3 linked regions of the Macaca mulatta genome follow. The protein of the gene in region 3 binds, or shares a complex with, the protein of the main gene of each other region. Links are inferred from orthologs where the notes say so. Each region holds a gene or a part of one and is shown on either strand. Other genes may lie near its edges. The genes, in order: CFAP276, PIERCE1 and TUBA1A.

Region 1 (6,731 bases), on a different chromosome or scaffold from region 3:
AAAGAACTGGTTTGTGAGGATTGTACAGTATTATAACTGGGAGTGAGGAGGACCCCAGAGAAGCAATCAGAGATGGAATCAGGAGAGTGCAATGTCTAAGCAGGTAAGACAAAGATTCCAGTAAGCAGGGAAGGGTCACTGATTGCAGGAATGGCAGAAAAAGTCCACTGCACATTAGTTCTCAATAAAGCTCCACAGGCATGAACGTAAAAAGCATGTAACAGATTTCTTCATTATATGTAAAATGCCATATTCGCCACTGTATCCCCAGCTCCTAGCACACTGACCTAACACATGGTATTAAAAAACAGTTGAATCCAATATATCATTTGACTGAATTCCAGTCAGTGCAACTAACAACCTATTAGAACTCTGGCTGGGTGTGGTGTCTCACCCCTGTAATCCCAGCACTTTGGGAGGCTGAGGTGGGCAGATCACCTAAGGTCAGGAGTTTGAGACCAGCCTGACCAACATGATGAAACCCCATCTCTACTAATATACAAAAATTAGCTGGGGGTAGTGGTGGGTGCCTGTAGTCTCAGCTACTTGGGAGGCTGAGGAGGGAGAGTCGCTTGAACCCAGGAGGTGGAGGTTGCAGTGAGCCGAGATTGTGCCACTGCACTCCAGCCTGGGCAATAAAAGTAGGATTCTATCTCAAAAAAAAAAAAAAAAAAAAAAAGAACTCTCATTAGACCTATCCAACATTGTAATCCTCCTTCTCCCCAGTATGGCAAAGTGCTATGTGAGCCATACCTTTTTTTGTTTTTCTTTGAGACGGAGTGTCGCTCTGTTGCCCAGGCTGGAGTACAGTGGCGTGATCTCGGCTCACTACAACCTCCACTTCCTGGGTTCAAGCGATTCTCCAGCCTTAGCTTCCCAAGTAGGTAGGATTACAGGTGTGTGCCAGTGTATCTGGCTAATTTTTGTATTTTTATTAGAGATGGAGTTTCACCATGTTGGCCAGGCTGGTCTTGAACTCCTGACCTCAGGTGATCCACTTGCCTCAGCCTCCCAAACGCCTGGAATTACAGTCATACCTTAATTGAACAGTGTGTATCAGCCACTGTGCTATCACCAAGAATAATGAAGTATGAAAGAAAGAAAGCTACAGGTATTTGATGCCAGCATAGGCTCAGTTATCCTTTGATGTGGCCCTGAGCAGCACTCCTCCCACTCTCCTTGAAGACCACTTAAACCTCGTCATCTCTGTCAGCAGAAGGATGAGATTGTCTTTCACTGAGAAAGTCCAGACTGTCAAGCACGAATGTCATCTTTACATCCACTTTCTTTCCATCTCAGGGAAAGGAAAGTCCCTTTTACTCCCCGGACCTACACTTCCCCGTGCTTCTGAGACCTGTACCATTCTGCATATGCTCTTTTCTGACCCAAGCCTCTCTTCATTTCTTTGTCATGGTCTAGCTACCAGCCTATCACTTTCCCTACACAACCAGACCTTTTCAGGAGTCAATATTTACTCTCTCTACTTCCTCACTCACCATTCCCATGCCCTCTTTAGCTCACTGTAGTCTGGCCTCTGCCTCAAGCACCCCCTAAAACTGCTCTTGCTAGTTATCAGTGAACTCTGTGGCCAGTTCAGGTGGATCCTTTCCAGGCCTGATCTTATTTGAACTCAGCTGTTTCTGACATCATAATGCTGATTCCCTCAAATGCCCACACCATGCTGTGTGGGCCCAGCTCCTCTGGGTTTTCCTCTTATTTCTGGCCCTTATCTCTCAGCTACTGTCTCAGCTCCACTTTCTCTCTGTCCCTTAGACAGTGCTATTCTCCAAGGGTCTCGTTTTTGCTTTTCTTATGCTCACATCCACTGGATGAGCTGACTCCCTTCCATGGCTTCAACTACTATATGGATACCGTAGCTCATATGGATACACAGCTCCATCATACATCTTCAATCCAGAACTCTCAACCCTGTTGCTTACTATTGATCTTCACTTAAATGTCCCACAGTAGACTACAAAAACGTCTACATAATTGATGTTTCTCAACATCTTTCTCCCCAAACCTGCTTCCCCAGGATGCCCCATTTCAGTGAACCCTCAGAATTAAACCCTTAGGAACCTAGCAGTTATCCTAGACTCACCTCCTCTCTTGGGCCCGTATCCAGTCAGTCCCCAGGTCCTGTCAGTCCTGCCCTGTGCACTTTTCTCACATCTGCACCTGATCTCCATCCCCTGTGGTACTGCTGTAGATCCATTACTCTTCCTCCTGGAGATCGCCTCACTTGCCTCCTAACTGATCCCTCTTGTCTCACTCTCATCCTATCCAGTCTGCTGCCACTTGTGCTTCCTAAAACACCCATCTGATTGTGTCACTTGGTACTTAAAATCCTGCTATGGGGCTGGGACCTACGGCTCATGCCTGTAATCTCAGCACTTTGGGAGGCCAAAGCAGAAGGATCACTTGAGGCTAGGAGTTTGAGACCAGCCTGCGCAACAAAGGAAGATCCTGGTTCTACAAAAAAATAAAATAAGAATTTGCCAGGTGTGGTGGCACCACCTGTGGTCCCAGCTACTTGGGAGGCTGAGTTGAGAGAATTGCTTGAGCCCAGGAGTTCGAGGCTGCAGTAAGCCAAGATTGCACCAGTGTAGTCCAGCTGGGGTGACAGAGCAAGGAGACCCTGTCTCAAAAAAAAAAAAAAAAAAAAAATCCCACCATGATTCCTCACATACCTAGAATGAAACCATAGCTAGCTAGCTAGCATGGTGTACACAGCATACCCAGCCCACCAAGGGCATCTCCCAGCTCTGATCTCTGAGTGCCTCCATTTCATGCCTGCACTCCAGCCCTTCTGGATTATTTGCAGTTCCCCAGACAAGCCATTCTCTCTCTCCTTTCCATGTATTTGCACCTGCTGCTCCCTTTGCCTTGCATATCTGGTTCCTGTTTCCTTCTTCCTAACTCATATTCTACCCACTCCCTCACCTGGCCTACCTAACTCATATTTGGACATCAAAATGCATCTGCTCTGTGAAGCTTTCCTTTAAGTTCCTGGTTCTCACGGCACCCTACACACAACTCTGTCACAACATGTGCTGTTGTGCAAGCATTTTTGCTATTGTCGGTCTATCTTTACTACTAGAGTTCCTTAACAGCAGAAGCTACATCTAATTTATTTATATATCCTTGGTGTCTAGCAGAGTGTCTGGATTATAGTAAATAAGTATTGAATAAATAAAAAGGGGCTCTTAATATTGTTATTAGACAACAATTACCACTTAATTCATCTTATTGTGCACCACTTCAAATATCCCAATCACTCCTACCAGAAAAAAGATCATCTAAGTTCCTAAATCAGTGACCACCATCATGCTAAACACACACATAACAAACACATTGTGGTGTTAACCAGAAGACAGAGACAGTGTGAACACAGATGTATAAAGCATGACCTCTGGTGACTTTCAGAGGATTCTCTCCCACTCCATATCTCATTTCTCTTCAGAGAACAGTCTTCCCAACAGGGAAATGGGTAGCTTGAAGGAACCTGGGCCCTCCCATAACTTATACTCACAATTGATTTGAGTTGCCAGAGCCCCTTGTTCTTCTAGACTAGAGCTCTACTTTCCCCTGCTCAAAAACTCCTCTGAAACGTTAGCCAACCTGAATATGGAGATAGGGAGGCAGGCAGAAAACAGACTTCTCTGGTACCCGACTGAGTGTCTTCACCAGAGTGCTTTATGTTACCATCTCTGCCCATCACACTGACAGAAAGAAGACTATCGGTGACCCTACTAGGAATCTGCGCAAGAAACCACAGTACCTTGGAAGCCCGCAGTTCTCCTAAGTAGGAATCATCGTTATCTAATGTAGGCTGCTGGAAAGGGTCCCGGGTGGGAGGCATGGCTAAATGCCTAACTCTTCTAAGAGGGATGGGAGGTCCGCTCAGCCGCAGCACAGCCTCACTCGCATATGATCCCGGGTCCCAATTGTTTGAAACGCTGGTTTCGGTTGCCAGGCAACTGCCCAGCCATCTAAGACAGAGGAATTCCCTCCGAGGAGGGCGCCACCTGGCGGCTGACCGCGGGAGGCCTCTGGGGAGGATGCTCCGGGGAATGCAGAGGGAAAGCGCCGCTGAGTGGGCCCCGAGCCTTGGAATTGCACTCCTGAGCCTCGGCGGAAAAGCGCGGGCCGCTCACCATCACGACTTCTGCAAAAGATTTCAGTTGAGGAAAGAAGTCCTTAAAGATGACCCAGAAATTTCCTTCTGGCTCGCACCTAACAAAAGGCTTTCAAAGCCATGAGAGAATGAGGATGTCAAGAGACCAAAGAGGGCCGGGCGCGGTGGTTCACGCCTCTAATCTCAGCACTTCGCGAAGCGGAGGCGGGCGGATCGCTTAAGCCCAAGAGTTCGAGACCAGTCTGGGCAACATGGCGAAACCCCGTCTCTACAAAAAATAGGAAAAAGATTAGCTAGGCTTGGTGGCACGCGCCTGGAGTCCCGACTACTCAGGAGGCTAAGCCAGGAGAATCTCTTGAACCCCGGAGGCGGAGGTTGCAGTGAGCCGAGATCGCGCCACTGCACTCCAGTCTGGGTGAGAGAGTGAGACCCTGTCTGGGGGCGGGGGACGGGGTGGGGGGGGGCACGTGCGGTACTTGGAAAATTGCGGCTAAGGCAAACTCCTTGCTTAAACTCCGATCAACTGCAGTGTCAGGGCTTCTCATCTAGCCGGTTGTAAAAGCACGGATGGATTTGGCGGGATGTAAGATCTCCAAGAGTGGCCTTCGTAGGAGGGAACACGTACTGGGGCCTCTTCTAGGCGACGACTTCTGGAGGGTGCTCTCTCCATCTTCTTTCTCTCGGTTCACATGCCACGTGTACAAAATCAGATATGCTCATAAAATAACCCCTAGCCCGAAAGGGCTGTAGAAAACGGAAATTTGTTGGCGCTGGCCTGGAGGATGCTTCCACCGCGTTCTTCACACGAGCCCGGGGCATGCCTGTTGGGCCGGTTGCGCACCCCGGGCGCGCGCTCTCCCGCGCCCACGCCGCGCGCACCAGCTGCGGCGGCTGCCATGGCGACCCGCAGGTGAGCGACAGAGGCGCGCGTGGTCCCTGCCCCACCCGCGCAGAGCCAGAGAGGAGGCGGTTGTCAAGGCGACGTGGGTAGGAGGAGAGGACTGAGGGAGGAGGAAGGATGGGCGGTGTTGGCGTAGCCGCAGGGAGGTGACTGGAGCGAGCCTGGCCTCTTGCATCCCCTCCCTGTGTACCTCCCTCCCCTTTTTTTCCGCCTTCTGCCAGCAGAAGCAGCAGCCGCAGCACCTGAGCCGCTACTGCCGCTCACTCAGGACAACACTATGGCTGAGCCTGGCCACCGTCTCTCCGCCAGAGGCAGGGGAACAACTGAGAGGCGCACACCCTGGCTGTTGCGGCTGCTGCTCTGGGCTGGGACCGCCTTCCAGGTGACCCAGGGAACCGGACCGGAGCTTCACGCTTGCAAAGAGGTACTGCCGCCCCCCTACCCGACCCCGCTTTGGTCACAAAAGTCTTGGATCCAGGCGGAGACCTTGGGGACACAGGCGCAGAGAGTTTCAGACGCCACAGAGTTTAGATTTCTTTGGGGATGAGGCATGGGGGGAGGGAAGAGGAGCCAGTCTGGCGTCATGAGGAGGCCAGCACATTGGAGGACTCACGGATAGATCAACCTCACAGCTTGGGATGCTGAGCTCAGCGAGAAAGGTCCCAGCCCCAAGAAGGGGAGCTACCTGGGTACCTGAACTCAGAATGAGGGAGGAAGACGAGTTGTTTTCCAGCTGGGATGAATTCATCTTAAAAGTGGTTGACAACAAAAGATTATGCACAGAGAGGCAAAATAGGAAGAGGAAAGGAGAGTAGTGGGAGAGGAAAGGAGTTAGGAAGGCCAGAAAAAAGTACCGGAGCGAAGTGATTTTATCATGGCTACACAAAACGGAGTGTGAAGGTGGGAGATGTGCGAGAGGGATGATAGGATCCCAGCTCTCTAGTTCCTTGTTTGTTAAACATCGGTTAGTGAAGACTGTTAAATGTGGCTTCTCCTTATAGCTTGGCCTCCCCGCAGCGTACTATGTTTAGTGTACCTGACAGCACACGACTCACCTTTCTGCAGATTTTGAGTTCTTCAATATCTTGTGTTCTGCCAACCTCTGGTCTCCTCTCTGACTTCTGCTAACATATGTCAAAGTCTTTTTCAAGGTATTTCCAAAATGTTGGAAGCAGAATTCAGACAATAGGTAGTCAATGTCTTATAACCAAAAATATCTTTTGAAAAGTCATCTTGGAAGAATGCAAAAGGGCACTAGGAGCAACAAAACAGTCTTTTCTCTATTATTGAAATAACGATATTTGGTTGTGCTCTGAGCAACTTTTTTAGAAACCATATGGCAGAGGCAACAAGATATTTACAAGAACTACGTTGGGGAAGGCAAAATGAAAGTTCTGTTATTTCTGTGGAATGTGAAGGACTAAGGTTTTGAGAGGTTAGTGTATATATATATATATAAAACTTTAAAATATATATGTTTTAAAATAGAAATGAGGTTTCAATATACTGCCCCGGCCAGTCTCTAACTCCTGGGCTCAAGCGATCCTCCCACCTCAGCCTCCCAAAGTGCTGGGATTATAAGAATGAGTCACTGCACCCAGTCCAGAATATTTTTTATAAATTGTTAGTGTGAACTGATTGCCAACAATAACTCCATCCCTTATGGAGATATATTCTTATAAAGATGTTCTG
Region 2 (6,631 bases), on a different chromosome or scaffold from region 3:
CAGGTAAGTAATCTTCTCACCAGAGCTCAGTCACTCACACAACACAACTAAATAAGCACTCAGCAGACCTTTTCAATGATGAATGCTTTGACAAAGAAAAAACACCCACAACATTCTCACCCCAAAATGGCTGGCCCAGTGTCCCAGGTGTGCAGGAGACACCGCACTAGCCCCTCTGTCCATTCACCTGGACCTTCATGGGGTTTGGTGTGAGGATGTTCTAGGAGGGCCATCCTGGAGTCCGAGGTCAACTTCAAAAAGGGTTTGGCTTCCCCAATGGCCCACAGGCTCCTGTGCCCGCAATACACCTTGCCCACCCACAAGCTGTGCTGTCAGCCAGTACTGCCCTCTTAAGGTCACACGTTAACATCTCATAAAGTGTAATTCCAGAAAAAAAGTAGCCCTTCATTTATTTGCCTCAGAACTGAGCACTGTAAGTTGCAGGAGATGGTTGCGTGTGTGTGTGTGACTGCTGTGCGTGTGCTTGGGGGTGTGGGGACAGGGTGATGCCAGCAGGTCTATATCCTCCTCTTTTAAAACACTCCACTCCCAAATTCATTCACTCATTTAGTTCCATCCTACCCTCTCCCAAAACGATTTGGGGAACCTCCCTCCTCCCCATTTGTGATGTTGGAACTTTGGCCTCTTCTCTGGGTGCACCCCTCCCCGTCTCATTGTTGACTTATTGAGAACCCCAGGTTTTTAGCCTCTTCTTTGAGGCTGCCCACCCCCTGCCCCCCCATGCCCGGTCTTGCATCCCACTTACGGGCATCTCGTGCACGGTGGGGGCTCTGCTCCCATAAGCCTGGTTACTGGTCGTGTACACCGAGATAGCCTTCTGGGTCCTGGTAGATGAGAAACACTCTCTTTTCGTTCATTTAATCTAATTCTGCACAAGCCACAGCCTTGCATTTGGTTGACAGCACTCCACTGGAAATGCCCCCAAAGAAAGAGCAATGTGCTTGGGCTGGTGATGCAGCCTCAAAGGCAGCCTCTGGGAGTACCTGGCTGATGACCGTTCTGAATGGCCCGGCCTCCCCTGCCCCCTCTGCTCACCACGGTCCCTGCTCTTCCAAGGCAGGCCAAAGCCCTAAAGAGCAGGCAGCCAGCAAGTGCTGACCCCCAGCCCTGGCAGGACCTTGGCACATGCTGCAATTTCTGGGTAACTTAGCCTGTCAGGAGCGGAGGCTTGGCCTCCAGACTCTGCCACCCAGAGGGTCCCTCTGCCTTTAGCCCCCACCCTCGCTGAGGTGATGCTTCTCTCGGTACCACTGCCCCTACCTGTCAGTAGGACAGGCTACTGAGAGGCTGCAGGCCCACACCTTAGCTCTACTTTATACTCCTAGATCTTGGCCAAGTTGTTCTTTCTACATTCCAGTCGTCTCAATGGGAGAACGAGGATACTAACAGACCCTGCCCTAGAGGACTGTTGAGGGACCACATGTGTGAGCACGGCAAGATGCTTGCACCTGCCTACAGGAATTTTCTTACTGCTTCTTAGCCTGCAATGCCCTGTGGCAGCTCACAGCTGGCTGAGTAGACTTGCTGCAGGTGCTGCTGTGCTCACGCCCCGCAGCGGGGTTTCAGGGTAGAGAGGCGAGGAGACTCACCCGACACAAAACAGTAGAGCTGAGACCACAACTGGATTTTCTCCCCCCTACGGCCCTGCCTCTCACTGACCCTATTCCCACTTCCTTGTATGAGGCTCTGGGGAGCACTTTCGTTGCTCACTAGTGGGCGATGACAGCGCGGGCCCCGGATGACCCCTCGATCCTCTTGATTTCTGCAGCTAGGACCTTGGGGGTCTTGCGGGGTCTCTCACACACGGGGCTATCGAGCAGTGGACGCCAGGACCAGGCGCGCCCCAGCTTCCTCACCTGTAGCCCCGGAACCACCCTGGGTTGTTGAACCTGCCCGGCAGGTCCGCGCTTACGCGGTAGTAGTCGCTGGTCCTCTCAGGCGGGGCCGTGGCCTTGGGCTCCACAGGCTCCGCGCACGCTCTGGGGCTTTCCTCCGCCATTGCGCGTCGAAAAGCAGGACTCGGCGGCGTCCTGTTGCCAAGCGACGGCCAGGTCACGTGACTGGGGCGGAGCGGAGGGGCCTTAAAGGCGCCGCGCGTGGGCGGTGCTCCTCCGCGGGCGGGTCGGGAACCTGCCGAGCGAGTCCCCAACGACTGGGAAGGTCGGGACGGCGAGAGATTCCCTGCTGGGACCGTTGTATGGGGCAGCCCCTGGCCCCCAGCCACCCGCGAGGGGACCGGGTCACCCCAGCATGAGGGTGTGGACTCCCGGGCGAAAGGAACCCCAGGGCCTGGGACCCCGCCAGCCGGGTGATGGGGTTTAAGCACTGCAGGTCCACTCGGCAGACAACGATTGGACGCTTGCTGTCCAATGTACTCCAGGGATGATATGCCCCTCAGCACCCCGAGTCTAAATTGAGACCCGAGATCTTGCTAACTTTATGAAATTCTCCTAAGTCAAATATCGTTTAAATATTAAAAACATGGCCGGGCGCGGTGGCTCAAGCCTGTAATCCCAGCACTTTGGGAGGCCGAGACGGGCGGATCACGAGGTCAGGAGATCGAGACCATCCTGGCTAACACGGTGAAACCCCGTCTCTACTAAAAAAAATACAAAAAAACTAGCCGGGCGAGGTGGCGGGCGCCTGTAGTCCCAGCTACTCGGGAGGCTGAGGCAGGAGAATGGCGTGAACCCAGGAGGCGGAGCTTGCAGTGAGCTGAGATCCGGCCACTGCACTCCAGCCTGGGCGACAGAGCGAGACTCCGTCTCAAAAAAAAAACAAAACAAAACAAAAAAAATAAATAAATAAATAAATAAATAAATAAATAAATAAATAAATAAATAAATATTAAAAACAGTTTTGGAGCGCGAGAGGCTGCGCGGGACGTGGTTCACAGCTCACGTGGCGGGAGGCGAGGGTCCCCATCGCCCAGCGGGCTCCCCCAAAGGTCAGGGGCCTCCCGGGCTGGTGGGGCCCATTAGCGAGGCGGGGCGAGCTGCAAGGCGAGGACGGTGCCCCCACTCCCGGCCCGAGACTCTCAAGCCCGGGACCCCGGGCCCTGCCCCCTCGTCTGCCCCGCCTCCGCAGGGAGGTCCCAGCCGCCCGCGGACGGCGCTGTGGCTCCTCCGGGCCTGTAGGTGGCACTGCGGCCCCGCGCGGACGGCGGCGGGAGGGGAGGCCGCTCGGCCCGGCTCGGAGGGAGGCCTCGCTCCGCCCCGCGTCCCGGCCATGGCGACCGTCCCGGCCGCGCTGCCCCGAATGCTCGGCGCGGGTGAGCGCGCGCTTGCGGGTCCCTGGGGAGGAGGATGCAGAGGGGGCGCGGGGACCCGAGGGAGCAGCGGGGACGCGGAGGGGACTCGAGGAGGGCGCGGGGACGCAGAGGGGATCCGTTGGGGCTGCGGTGGGGGCGGGCGTGGTGCACCCGGGACGCGGCGCCAGGACGTCTGTCTGCTTCCCCCCAGGTGCCCGGGCGCCGTCGCGCTGGCTGGGGTTCCTCGGGAAGGCGACCTCCGGACCTGCTCGGTCGAGCCGCAGGACGCTTGGAAGCGCTGCGACCCCTGTGATCCGCGAGTCCGAGGACGGCACCGGTGACACTGGGCGCGCAGCCGAGTCAGGTAGGAACTAGGAGAGGCCGGCAGCCGCGGGAGATGCGAACCCTGCAGGGACCTGGGCGCTGCACGTGGTCGAAACTGCGCGCCCGGCCGGGCTCCTCCCACTCCCGTGCTGGCCACCTGAGACCACAAGGTGGGGAGGTGCCAGAAAGACCTGAGAAACCCGCTGGGCCCCTCTCTTTTTCTCTTCTGTCTTCCAAGTAAGACCAAGGGACGGGGTTGACCAGGTTCGACCAGGCTCACCCAGGAGCAAGGTCGGGATCAGAATCTGGCTCCAGCCCTCTGTTTCCTGAAAAGGTCCCTGTGCTTCCAGGTCTTTCCTGGGGCTGGGGGGCTCCCGGCTCCCCACCGCGGTGTCACAGGAGGCACTTGGGAGCAGGGGTGGGCGGGAACTGTGCTCTGCCTGTCCCTGCTGCCACCGGTGGGAGACACAGCGTCGTTCCTCCTCCCTGCCGTAGATTTCAACGACAAGATTCTGAATGAGCCCCTCAAGCACTCTGACTTCTTCAATGTCAAGGAACTGTTTTCCGTGAGAAGCCTCTTTGATGCCCGAGTGCATCTGGGACACAAAGCTGGCTGTCGGCACAGGTAGGTGACACCCCCATCTGAGCTGTAGCGGTTCCCAGGAGGGCTTGGGACCTGGGACCTGCCCTGGTTCTAGGGCCACTTTTGAACTGGCCCGTGTCAGTTTTAGGTGATTACAGCCCTTCCTCCTCCACATGGGAACACGGAGCCCCACACAGAAGCAGCAGTTCACTCCCCAGCTTGGCGGGGGCTCTTGTGTGCCTTGGGGTGGTGCTCACAGCCCTTAGTAGGGCAGGCCTGCTGGGGGATGCAGAACTCCACAGGTTCAGAAATGGAAGGGCTGAGGGCAGAGCCTGTGAGGCTGGCCCCCCCTGGATTGGGCGGGGCTTTCTGGGCTGTGGGGAGGAGGAGTGACTGGTCCTGTATTCTCACATGGTCATTTTGACTGTTGCAGGGAGAGGGGATGGGAGGGGCAGGTGGGAGGCCAGGGAGGAAGTTGGTGTGGGTGTCCAGGGCGAGGGTGGTGGGGCTTAAATCGCAGTAGCAGAAGAGCTAGAGCAGCAGGTGGACATGAGGCAGCGGGGTAGAGCCAGTGGGCCTTGGGCTGGGGTCGGAGGTGGCTGGGGCCAAAGGGATCAAACACCTGCTCTTTGCCTGGAGTTTGGTGCCGGTTACTGATGGCAAAAACCAGGGGGGACCTGGGGGCCATCACAAGCTTGGTTCCTATGAGGTGTGAACTCTTAGCTGCCCCAGTGGAGAGGTCACACGGGTACCAGGAGGGATGGGCTCCCAGGAAGCCATCAGCATCGGGGACTTGTGTTTCCAGAGCATCGGAAAAGGAGGTCGGAGGTGGAGCCCTGGGCACTTCAGTGTTTGGAGTCAGTGAAGAGGGACGGCCGGGGGTGGAGGGATGTGGTTGTCTGTTGATGCTGCTGAGAAGTGAATTCAAGGGTGTGACCTTGGCAAGATGGAGGTCGCCAGTGTCTTGATGGGCAGGGTTGCTTGAGAGGAAGGGACAGAACCCAGTGGGAGTAGACTGGAGGTGAGGACCTGGGAACCACAAACGTGGATGACCTGCCTGCCATGCACCAAGAGGCAGGGGTGCCTCCCATGCCCCGCTCTTCCTCAGCCCAGGCCGGCAGCAGTCCAGTGCCCTGGATCAGGGTTCTCCTCCCAGGCTTGGCCACTCCTGCCCTGATTCCTTAATGCTTTTGGCCCAGAGCACCCCCTAAGTCCAACCCCAGCGGGACCTTGTCCTCAAAGCCTCGGGAAGAGGAGAGTGACGGAGGGGGCTGCCCCGTGAGCCGCACGGGGCTGAATGTCCTTTTGGTGTCATGTTGGATGTCCACACATCCATATGGGGTCAGTTCTATTAGGATTCCCTCGGGAAGAGGTAGAGGGTCAGAGGGATTAAGCCATGAGATGAGGCGTGCAGGGGGGTGGCCTGGACAGGTCTGCACTGCCGTCTGTCCACACGGGGAGCGTTGCAAACTGTGCTTCCCAGCCCATAGTACCCTTGAAGAGGAGTTCGGGAGTCCCTGGTGGGCGTCTGTGTCCTGCAAGGGGCCAGTGGAGTTGGCCCGGTGAACTCTCATCCCCCTTGCCCTGGTGGGTTCTCTGGCAGGTTTATGGAGCCATACATCTTTGGGAACCGCCTGGACCAGGACATCATCGACCTGGAACAGACAGCCGCGCACCTCCAGCTGGCCTTGAACTTCACCGCCCATGTGGCCTACCGCAAGGGCATCATCTTGTTTATAAGCCGCAACCGGCAGTTCTCGTACCTGATTGAGAACACGGCCCGCCACTGTGGCGAGTACGCCCACACTCGCTACTTCAAGGGCGGCCTGCTGACCAACGCGCCCCTCCTCTTTGGCCCCGCGGTCCGCCTGCCGGACCTCATCATCTTCCTGCACACGCTCAACACCATCTTTGAGCCGCACGTGGCCGTGAGAGACGCAGCCAAGATGAACATCCCCACGGTGGGTATCGTGGACACCAACTGCAACCCCTGCCTCATCACCTACCCCATACCCGGCAACGACGACTCCCCGCCGGCCGTGCACCTCTACTGCAGGCTCTTCCAGACGACCATCACCCGGGCCAAGGAGAAGCGGCGGCAGGTTGAGGCTCTGTATCGCCTGCAGGCCCAGAAGGAGCCCGGGGCCCAGGGGCCAGCCCACCCTCCTGGGGCCGACGTGAGCCGTTCCCTGTGATGTTCACTCAACTCCTCCCAAAGCAAACCACAGCCAAGCCTGTCTGAGCTGGGAGTCCCCTTCCCCAGCCCTGGGTCAGCGGCATCCTCAGTCCTTGTTACTTACTTAGCTGACGTCACAGTGCAGACATCCGCTGTTCCGCCTCAGAACCAGTGGCTGAGCAGACCGACGTTGCCTCTGCATTTGCTCTGTGGGAAACAGAGCGCAGAGGGTGAGCGATGTGCGCAGGACGGCCCCTTGGCTGCAGTTAGGACCTCA
Region 3 (6,731 bases):
CTATTAACCTATTCAGGTTAGTATAGGTTGGACGCTCAATATCAAGGTTTCTACGACAGATGTCATAGATGGCCTCATTGTCTACCATGAAGGCACAATCAGAGTGCTCCAGGGTGGTGTGGGTGGTGAGGATGGAGTTGTAGGGCTCAACTACAGCTGTGGAAACCTGGGGCGCTGGGTAAATGGAGAACTCCAGCTTGGACTTCTTGCCATAATCAACTGAGAGACGTTCCATGAGCAGGGAGGTGAACCCAGAACCAGTTCCCCCACCAAAGCTGTGGAAAACCAAGAAGCCCTGAAGACCGGTGCACTGGTCAGCCTATTACAAAAGAGAGAAACAGAGGAAAGGTTAAGTTTTTGTTCTTTGTAGTACAATCATAGGAAATATATTTTCACTTTTCATACATCTCCCAGGATTTAGATCTTATTTTGACAAATGCTTTTTAAAAAATTCTCATTAACATTTACAAAATGATACCAAATAGTTCATTTTAACTGATAAAAACCCCACAAGAACGACTCATTCCACTCTTTATTAAAATAACAGTTCAATTCTGTTTGAAAAAAAAAAAGCAGTATTTCAAATGTGTTCTTTAGGCTCATTAATTTACTTTATTCTTGAAAAGAAACATACCAGCTTACGAATTCGGTCCAACACAAGGTCAATGATCTCCTTGCCAATGGTGTAGTGCCCTCGGGCATAGTTATTGGCAGCATCTTCCTTGCCTGTGATGAGCTGCTCAGGGTGGAAGAGCTGGCGGTAGGTGCCAGTGCGAACTTCATCTGGAGAAGGAGGGAGAGAAGGATGGAGGGAGTGGGTGAGTGGGTGACTAGCGGAGCCCCCCAGGACAGACCTCCTGTCCCAGCATCCTGGGATCTCACTTGGGTTACTGAGGTCAACTCACCAATGACCGTGGGTTCCAAGTCTACAAACACGGCCCGGGGCACATGCTTGCCAGCGCCCGTCTCACTGAAGAAGGTGTTGAAGGAATCATCTCCTCCCCCAATGGTCTTGTCACTTGGCATCTGACCATCGGGCTGGATGCCGTGTTCCAGGCAGTAGAGCTCCCAGCAGGCATTGCCAATCTGGACACCAGCCTGGCCAACATGGATGGAGATGCACTCACGCTGTGGGAAGGAAAAGTGAAAAAATTGTAAAATTAAGGCGTATTAGCATTTCAAACTTTTAGTAAACTTTTAAAAATATTTCTAATAATATACAGATATTTTTCAAAATTATTTGAGGTCACATCCCTAGCACGATACAAAGATTAAGGAAAATGACCTGCTGCAAATGCTGCATATGGGTGTGGTCTGAATAATGATGTCGCCTTGGCCCTGTTCAGCACATGGTACCAGCCCATTGTGCCTACTACCATGCTTGAATAAAAGACTTTTCATATTTAAAAAGTATTCAGTATTCAAAGCACAAATTTTGTAAAATGAAGTAAATTCAATTATGACATAATTGGGATTAATTTTACTGCTTTCTTCCCTTTTAAATAAAGAAGAAAGTTTCTTCTGAATAGGACTGACTTGATATTATAACATGGACATCTGTACTGCAGCTGAGGCAAGAAGCCACACCCTTCTGCAGTCTGTCTGCAGAATCCATCAATACAAGGGGTTTAGACAAGGTCTGCTTCTGCCTTCTGCATTGCTGCATTGCTGTATTTGCTGTGCCTGGTGCTAGCCTGTACTGTCTGCTACATTATTTAACAGAGCAAGCTCTATTTCCAGCAACTGCCTACATGATCTCATTGTGCTGTTTTGCCAGTTTTCCTCCTCTGACCCCGCCCGGGACCATGTGCCTGAATTGAAATGAATTAATGAAGATGCACTAGAACAAAAGACAACGGGATGCGGAGTATAATTCTTTGTCTGTAGCAATTTCATTCCTTTTTTTAAAGAAAAAGGTTTTTCCAGATCTTCTCCACTGTAAAAGCTGAAAAATTATCCGTATCTTAAAACACACACACACACACACACACACACACACACACACGTTCCTAAGTTAGAAACAAGCATCACATGAAAAGGTAGCAAACAAAGAATAAAAGCCCAGTGGAACGATAGTGAAATATTTATTTAAAACAACAAAATAGTATTTTAATCCTGAGATTCTCTACCCACCACATAATATTCATATTCTTTGCATCCAATAGAGGTTTTCTTCTCTGTGGTCTTTAGGGCTACCACTTTCATTGTCTATTCGCTGATGTGGTGGGGGCGGGGCGGAGGGGGGCGGCGGGGAAGGGCGTTTCCCTGGTCCTGACCATCAGGGTACCCTGGGGCTCACAAAGTGGGCTTTCTCCCTCGCTGAACGAGCAGCGCGCGCACACACACACACACACACACACACACACACACACACACACGACCATCAGGGTACCCTGGGGCTCACAAAGTAGGCTTTCTCCCTCGCTGAACGAGCAGCACGCACGCACACACACACACACACACACACACACACACTTCAGTCGGTCAGGGCAGGGCGTCCCCAGACCAGACATTAAAGAGTTTGTCAAGTGAATTGTGATTTTGCTCAAGAGAAAAAAAAAAAGGTCATCTTAATTATAATAGCGAAGAAAACCCTTTTGGAGCCTACAGTTCCGCAATGATGAAAAGTTTTTTTTAAGTCAGCTCCTGACAGAGGAGGTTTAGTGAGGGCGAACCCCGCCCAGTGGCTCCAACGCCATAGAAGCCAGAAACAAACAACCCCGCCCCTGCGCCGCCCTGACACCCGCTGCCGGGGGCTCCAGTAGAAACTCACCATGTTTCCCCGGGAATGTGTGGTTATCTTTCCAAAACGCCAACGACCGCGAGGGGTCTTCCCACGCTAACCCCAGGCTGCGCTTTGTTCCCGTTCCCCCTCCCACATCCCCCAGCTCGCCCAACGCCCCCGCTCTTTTTGGGTGCCTCCTCCTCTCCCGGTCCCCAGAGAACGAGGCGAGACAGAAAGGGGCCCCTCGGCGTCTGCGAAACCGTGCGCACAGACACTGGACCCAGCCGGGACGCCCGAGACCCCTCGGTTGCGGCAGACGGGCTGCCCGCGACCCCGAAAGGCTGTAGGACAACACAGGCGCCCAGGCGCCGCCTTTGTTCCTCCCCAGCGCTCTGCAGCGCCCTGGGCGCAGTCCTGGCCGGGTTCCTGCACCCGCACTGCGGCGGCGGCGGAGCTGGAGGATTTGGGGTAAAGCTAAACCTCACAAAACACACCACCACCCTCGCCCAGAGAGCTTACGAAAGAAAAGAGCTTAAAGATTTTCCAAGCAGAGCCTGGGGGCGCTGACTCCACCCAACGGCCACAAAGAGCCAAAGCCGATTCTCACCATGGTTGCTGCTTCGCGACTGCAGAGCAGATGGCGGAGACAAGGAGGAGAAGGTTGTTGCTTCTTACAGCGCGACTCTTAGGCGGTCGATGTAAGAGAACCTGCGGCACATGGGCGGATGCGGCTCCATATATACAACTCGGTCACCATGGGGATGGGCCGGGGCCTGTTCCTGTTGGTCCAGACCCCCAATCTGCCCAGAGAAGCCAGGACAGGAGACTGGTGATTGGTGCAAACGACGTGGGATGAGGTAATCTCTCCCCCACCCCTTTTTCTCTAGCATCCGTAGACTGTTTGCATCCTTTAGACAAAGAGACCGTGCAGAAGCATTCTGCCGAGCATCCATTATGGGGTGGGGTCGGGGAGGGGCGGAAGAAGAAAGGGGACTGGGGTTGGAAGACTTTATGTTGCTTAAACCCCAAAATGCAGTTAAAATTATCTATGTGAGGTTTTTTCCCCCTACCCTTAATAACAGATTTATGTTCAGATTAAATATTTAAAGGAAAATTACTGCCAGCCCCTCCCTCGCAGTATATTAAACTCGACTACATTTTGTTAGGGTTCAATATCTCTAATTGCTTTAAAAATAAAGTGGGAGAGAAAATGGGCGTAATGCTCAAAACGGTCTGGGTAATTGTGATTTTTTTTAATTTAAAAAAAACATTTAGTCATACAGTCATTCAAAATGGCTTCTCAGGTTCAACTAACTTATTTTCAGAGCTTCTTTTGCAGGCACATGCACACTCGAATAGCTAAATAAAACTGGAAGATGGAAATAATAACCATACTAAATAAAGAAGCGAACAAATAGTTCTAACATGGCAATAATCAACAGCAAGTGCACGTAGAGTAGTTATAATAGTTTACTAGAGGTATTCCTTTATGAGAAGTCTATGTAACACATTTTGTGTGGTGCATTGTCCTTTGGAATGAATCATCTTTCCTGATATAAAATTGGGAAAATACAAGGAGAAATAATTGAGCTCAGAAGTTAGTACTACATGTGTGCAGTTACATATCTGCACTGGACTTTTGTCTGGAAAGTAACAAGCAAAATAATAGTAATAACCAAGACACCAAATTAAAAAGAAGAAGAGAATAATATAATGTAAAAAGAAGACTATTTTGCAATGTTGCCTCCATCTACAGACAACTGTGAAACATCAGCTCAATAACTGCATTTACTTTTTATGCAGTTCTTATGTCAATTTGGTAAATATCCTCCTGCGAGTGGGCTTCTGACTGTGGGAATTTTAGCCAGCCTCACACCCTTGCTATTCAACTAGAGACTCTGGTGGTTGCTCAGTTGCCCCTTGGGACAAAAAGGCTTTGCTTTCACCCCTAGGAAATAAATTGGAGTAACATTGTCTTGCTATTTAGAAAGGCTCCATTCTCAGCAACGATGGGCTATGCAGAGTGAGTCACTGGATTTCGTACCACTGGATGTTGGTGATGAAATTTCAGAGGTAAGTAAGTTTGGCCACTAAAGTTGGAAATTTATTTTTTACAAATAATTTTTCCTTTTGGTTTTCAGCGGCAGATTTTCAGGGTGGGCAGCAACTACTCACACAGCACTCTGCGGAGCCCATTCATTCCTGCCAGGCTGGCAGGCTGAGCAGGGCGTGGGAGGGAGGGACTTGAGAATACAGCTGCTGCAGGTTGTGGTGTGACAATGGCGACCACGAATTTTTCTAGCCTGCCATCCACAGTTCTGCTTTACTTGTTCAATTTTGCTTCAGTAATATTTTCTGGAAAAAAAATAATATCCAAAATGCAAAAATCATTTTATCTACTTGTAACATATTTCCTAGGAAAAAATAATATTCAACATCATCTTATTTCCACCTCTTTAGCAAAAAAAAAAAAAAAAAAAAAAACAAAGAAAGCATATTTCAGAAGAGACAGGAGGATTAGGTATTTGAATGCTTCTTTCAGAACCCAGAAATATATTTAACAAAAATAAGAATTAAATGGCATAAGGAAGCCTAAGGATTAATAAGTAGCTCATTCAAAATACTTTCACAATTTTAATCATAAAATATATCAGACACTATTGGACCATAGCAACATGTACAAGTCTTTTTGGAATGAGAAGCAGAGCTTTGAATATTATTTTCTTTACAATATAAAAAGATTAATTGAGAAATATGTTATTTACCCAATAGTCTCATTTCTTTATGCAATTTCCCAAGATTAAATAAAAGAGAGGAGTGTTCACGTGGTTGATTCTTTGTAATTCTATCTCAGAGCCATTCTGTTCCTTATGTAAATGAGGGTTATTCCTTCTGCTTGGGCATATATAACAAGACCTAGGTCAGAAATAGACTATTTGAGCACTGATAATCTCAAATATATAAACAAAAGATCAGGGGATATAACTAATCTATAATTTTTGTTCCTTATTATCTGATTTAATAGCACACAAACTGTGGAAAGCAAAACTATTTTTCTTTACTAGTTCACCTCTTATTTTTATTGCCATTTTAAAAAACTTGACATCAATATACATGTACAAATATTCTGCTAATGGATTCATTCTTGTACACAGTAAGATTAGCATAAAACATTCTTCTTTCATAGTATTTATAGAATTTTAATCATTTATTTACATGTCTACATTTCTCCTCCATTAAAATGTAAGTCCTAGTTCCTGCCAAAGTGCCTAACTACAGTAGATGTTATACACCACGTTTGTTCAGTTAAATGAATAGCTCTCTGTGCAGTTTCCTTCCTTCCTTCCTTCCTTCCTTCCTTCCTTCCTTCCTTCCTTCCTTCCTTCCTTCCTTCCTTCCTTCCTTCCTTCTTTCTTTCTCTCTCTCTCTTTCTTTCTTTCTTTTTTTTGAGATGGAGTCTCGTTCTGTCACCCAGGCTGGAGTGCAGTGGCACGATCTCGGCTCACTGCAACCTCCGCTTCCCAAATTCAAGTGATTCTCCTGCCTCAACCTCCTGAGTAGCTGGGATTACAGGTGCTGGCCACCATGCCCGGCTAATTTTTGTGTTTTTCGTAGAGATGGGGTTTCGCCATGTTGGCCAGGCTGGTCTTGAATTCCTGACTTCAGGTTATCCACCTGCCTCAGCCTCCTAAAGTGCTGGGATTATAGGTGTGAGCCACGGTGCCCAGCCTTTGCAGATTTTCATTACCTATTATCATGCTTAGTAATGTAAAGATATTAGCCAGAGCGGTGGTTTACTCCTGTAATCCCAGCACTTTGGGAGGCCAAGGTGGGTGGACCACCTGAGGTTTAGGAGTTTGAGACCAGCCTGGAAAACATGGTGAAACCCTGTCTCTATCAAAAATATAAAAATTAGCTCGGGTGAGGTGGCTCATGCCTGTAATCCCAGCACTTTAGGAGGCTGAGGCAGGGGATTATTTGAGGTCAGGAGTTCGAGACCAGCCTG

Evidence for each region.
Region 1: the proteins of TUBA1A (region 3) and CFAP276 are in contact, whole or in part, in a cryo-EM structure (PDB 7UNG), measured with the Homo sapiens proteins. The link is inferred for Macaca mulatta from reciprocal best matches to the Homo sapiens genes TUBA1A and CFAP276. Residues at the interface, in NP_001257328.1 of Homo sapiens: Lys112, Glu113, Ile115, Asp116, Leu117, Leu119, Asp120, Arg123, Lys124, Asp127, Arg156, Ser158, Val159, Asp160, Gly162, Lys163, Leu195, Glu196, His197, Ser198, Asp199, Tyr262, Pro263, Arg264, Trp346, Lys430, Asp431, Glu434, Val435, Val437; in NP_001231954.1 of Homo sapiens: Pro43, Trp44, Arg46, Leu47, Asn48, Thr50, Pro51, Thr52, Ile53, Thr54, Ser55, Arg57, Arg58, Ala60, Tyr62, Asp64, Ile67, Pro68, Lys69, Asp70, Asp71, Phe74, Arg75, Lys90, Ser91, Leu94, Leu95, Asn96, Lys98, Thr99.
Region 2: the proteins of TUBA1A (region 3) and PIERCE1 are in contact, whole or in part, in a cryo-EM structure (PDB 7UNG), measured with the Homo sapiens proteins. The link is inferred for Macaca mulatta from reciprocal best matches to the Homo sapiens genes TUBA1A and PIERCE1. Residues at the interface, in NP_001257328.1 of Homo sapiens: Met1, Arg2, Gln15, Asn18, Ala19, Glu22, Cys25, Leu26, Glu27, His28, Gly29, Ile30, Gln31, Pro32, Asp33, Met36, Pro37, Asp39, Lys40, Asp46, Asp47, Ser48, Asn50, Glu77, Gly81, Thr82, Tyr83, Tyr224, Thr225, Asn228; in NP_001041730.1 of Homo sapiens: Tyr28, Pro35, Gly36, Arg37, Phe38, Trp43, Phe44, Arg45, Gly46, Tyr47, Arg48, Thr58, Ser59, Asn60, Gln61, Ala62, Tyr63, Gly64, Arg66, His71, Glu72, Pro74, Phe77, Tyr78, Pro79, Asn80, Ser81, Asn82, Lys83.

Annotation. Positions count from the first base shown.
Region 1 is NC_133406.1:131,103,335-131,110,065, reverse strand, and holds the start of CFAP276 (cilia- and flagella-associated protein 276), read right to left. Parts: upstream 4,124-6,731; 5' UTR 3,863-4,123; coding exon 3,782-3,862; intron 1-3,781. Other genes in the region: endosome/lysosome-associated apoptosis and autophagy regulator 1, read left to right, coding at 5,317-5,463. UniProt on the Homo sapiens protein: Microtubule inner protein (MIP) part of the dynein-decorated doublet microtubules (DMTs) in cilia axoneme, which is required for motile cilia beating. May play an important role for the maintenance of myelin-axon integrity.
Region 2 is NC_133420.1:7,005,055-7,011,685, reverse strand, and holds part of PIERCE1 (piercer of microtubule wall 1 protein), read right to left. Parts: exon of another isoform or gene 6,374-6,631; coding exon of another isoform or gene 5,782-6,373; intron 4,221-5,781; coding exon of another isoform or gene 4,091-4,220; intron 3,636-4,090; coding exon of another isoform or gene 3,483-3,635; intron 3,293-3,482; coding exon of another isoform or gene 3,250-3,292; exon of another isoform or gene 3,222-3,249; intron 2,036-3,221; exon of another isoform or gene 2,026-2,035; 5' UTR 2,021-2,025; coding exon 1,878-2,020; intron 846-1,877; coding exon 767-845; intron 1-766. Other genes in the region: MRPS2 (small ribosomal subunit protein uS2m), read left to right, coding at 3,250-3,292, 3,483-3,635, 4,091-4,220, 5,782-6,373. UniProt on the Homo sapiens protein: Microtubule inner protein involved in the attachment of outer dynein arms (ODAs) to dynein-decorated doublet microtubules (DMTs) in cilia axoneme, which is required for motile cilia beating.
Region 3 is NC_133416.1:56,350,913-56,357,643, forward strand, and holds the start of TUBA1A (tubulin alpha-1A chain), read right to left. Parts: upstream 3,426-6,731; 5' UTR 3,336-3,425; coding exon 3,333-3,335; exon of another isoform or gene 2,777-3,332; coding exon of another isoform or gene 2,774-2,776; intron 1,129-2,773; coding exon 906-1,128; intron 784-905; coding exon 635-783; intron 320-634; coding exon 1-319. UniProt on the Homo sapiens protein: Tubulin is the major constituent of microtubules, a cylinder consisting of laterally associated linear protofilaments composed of alpha- and beta-tubulin heterodimers.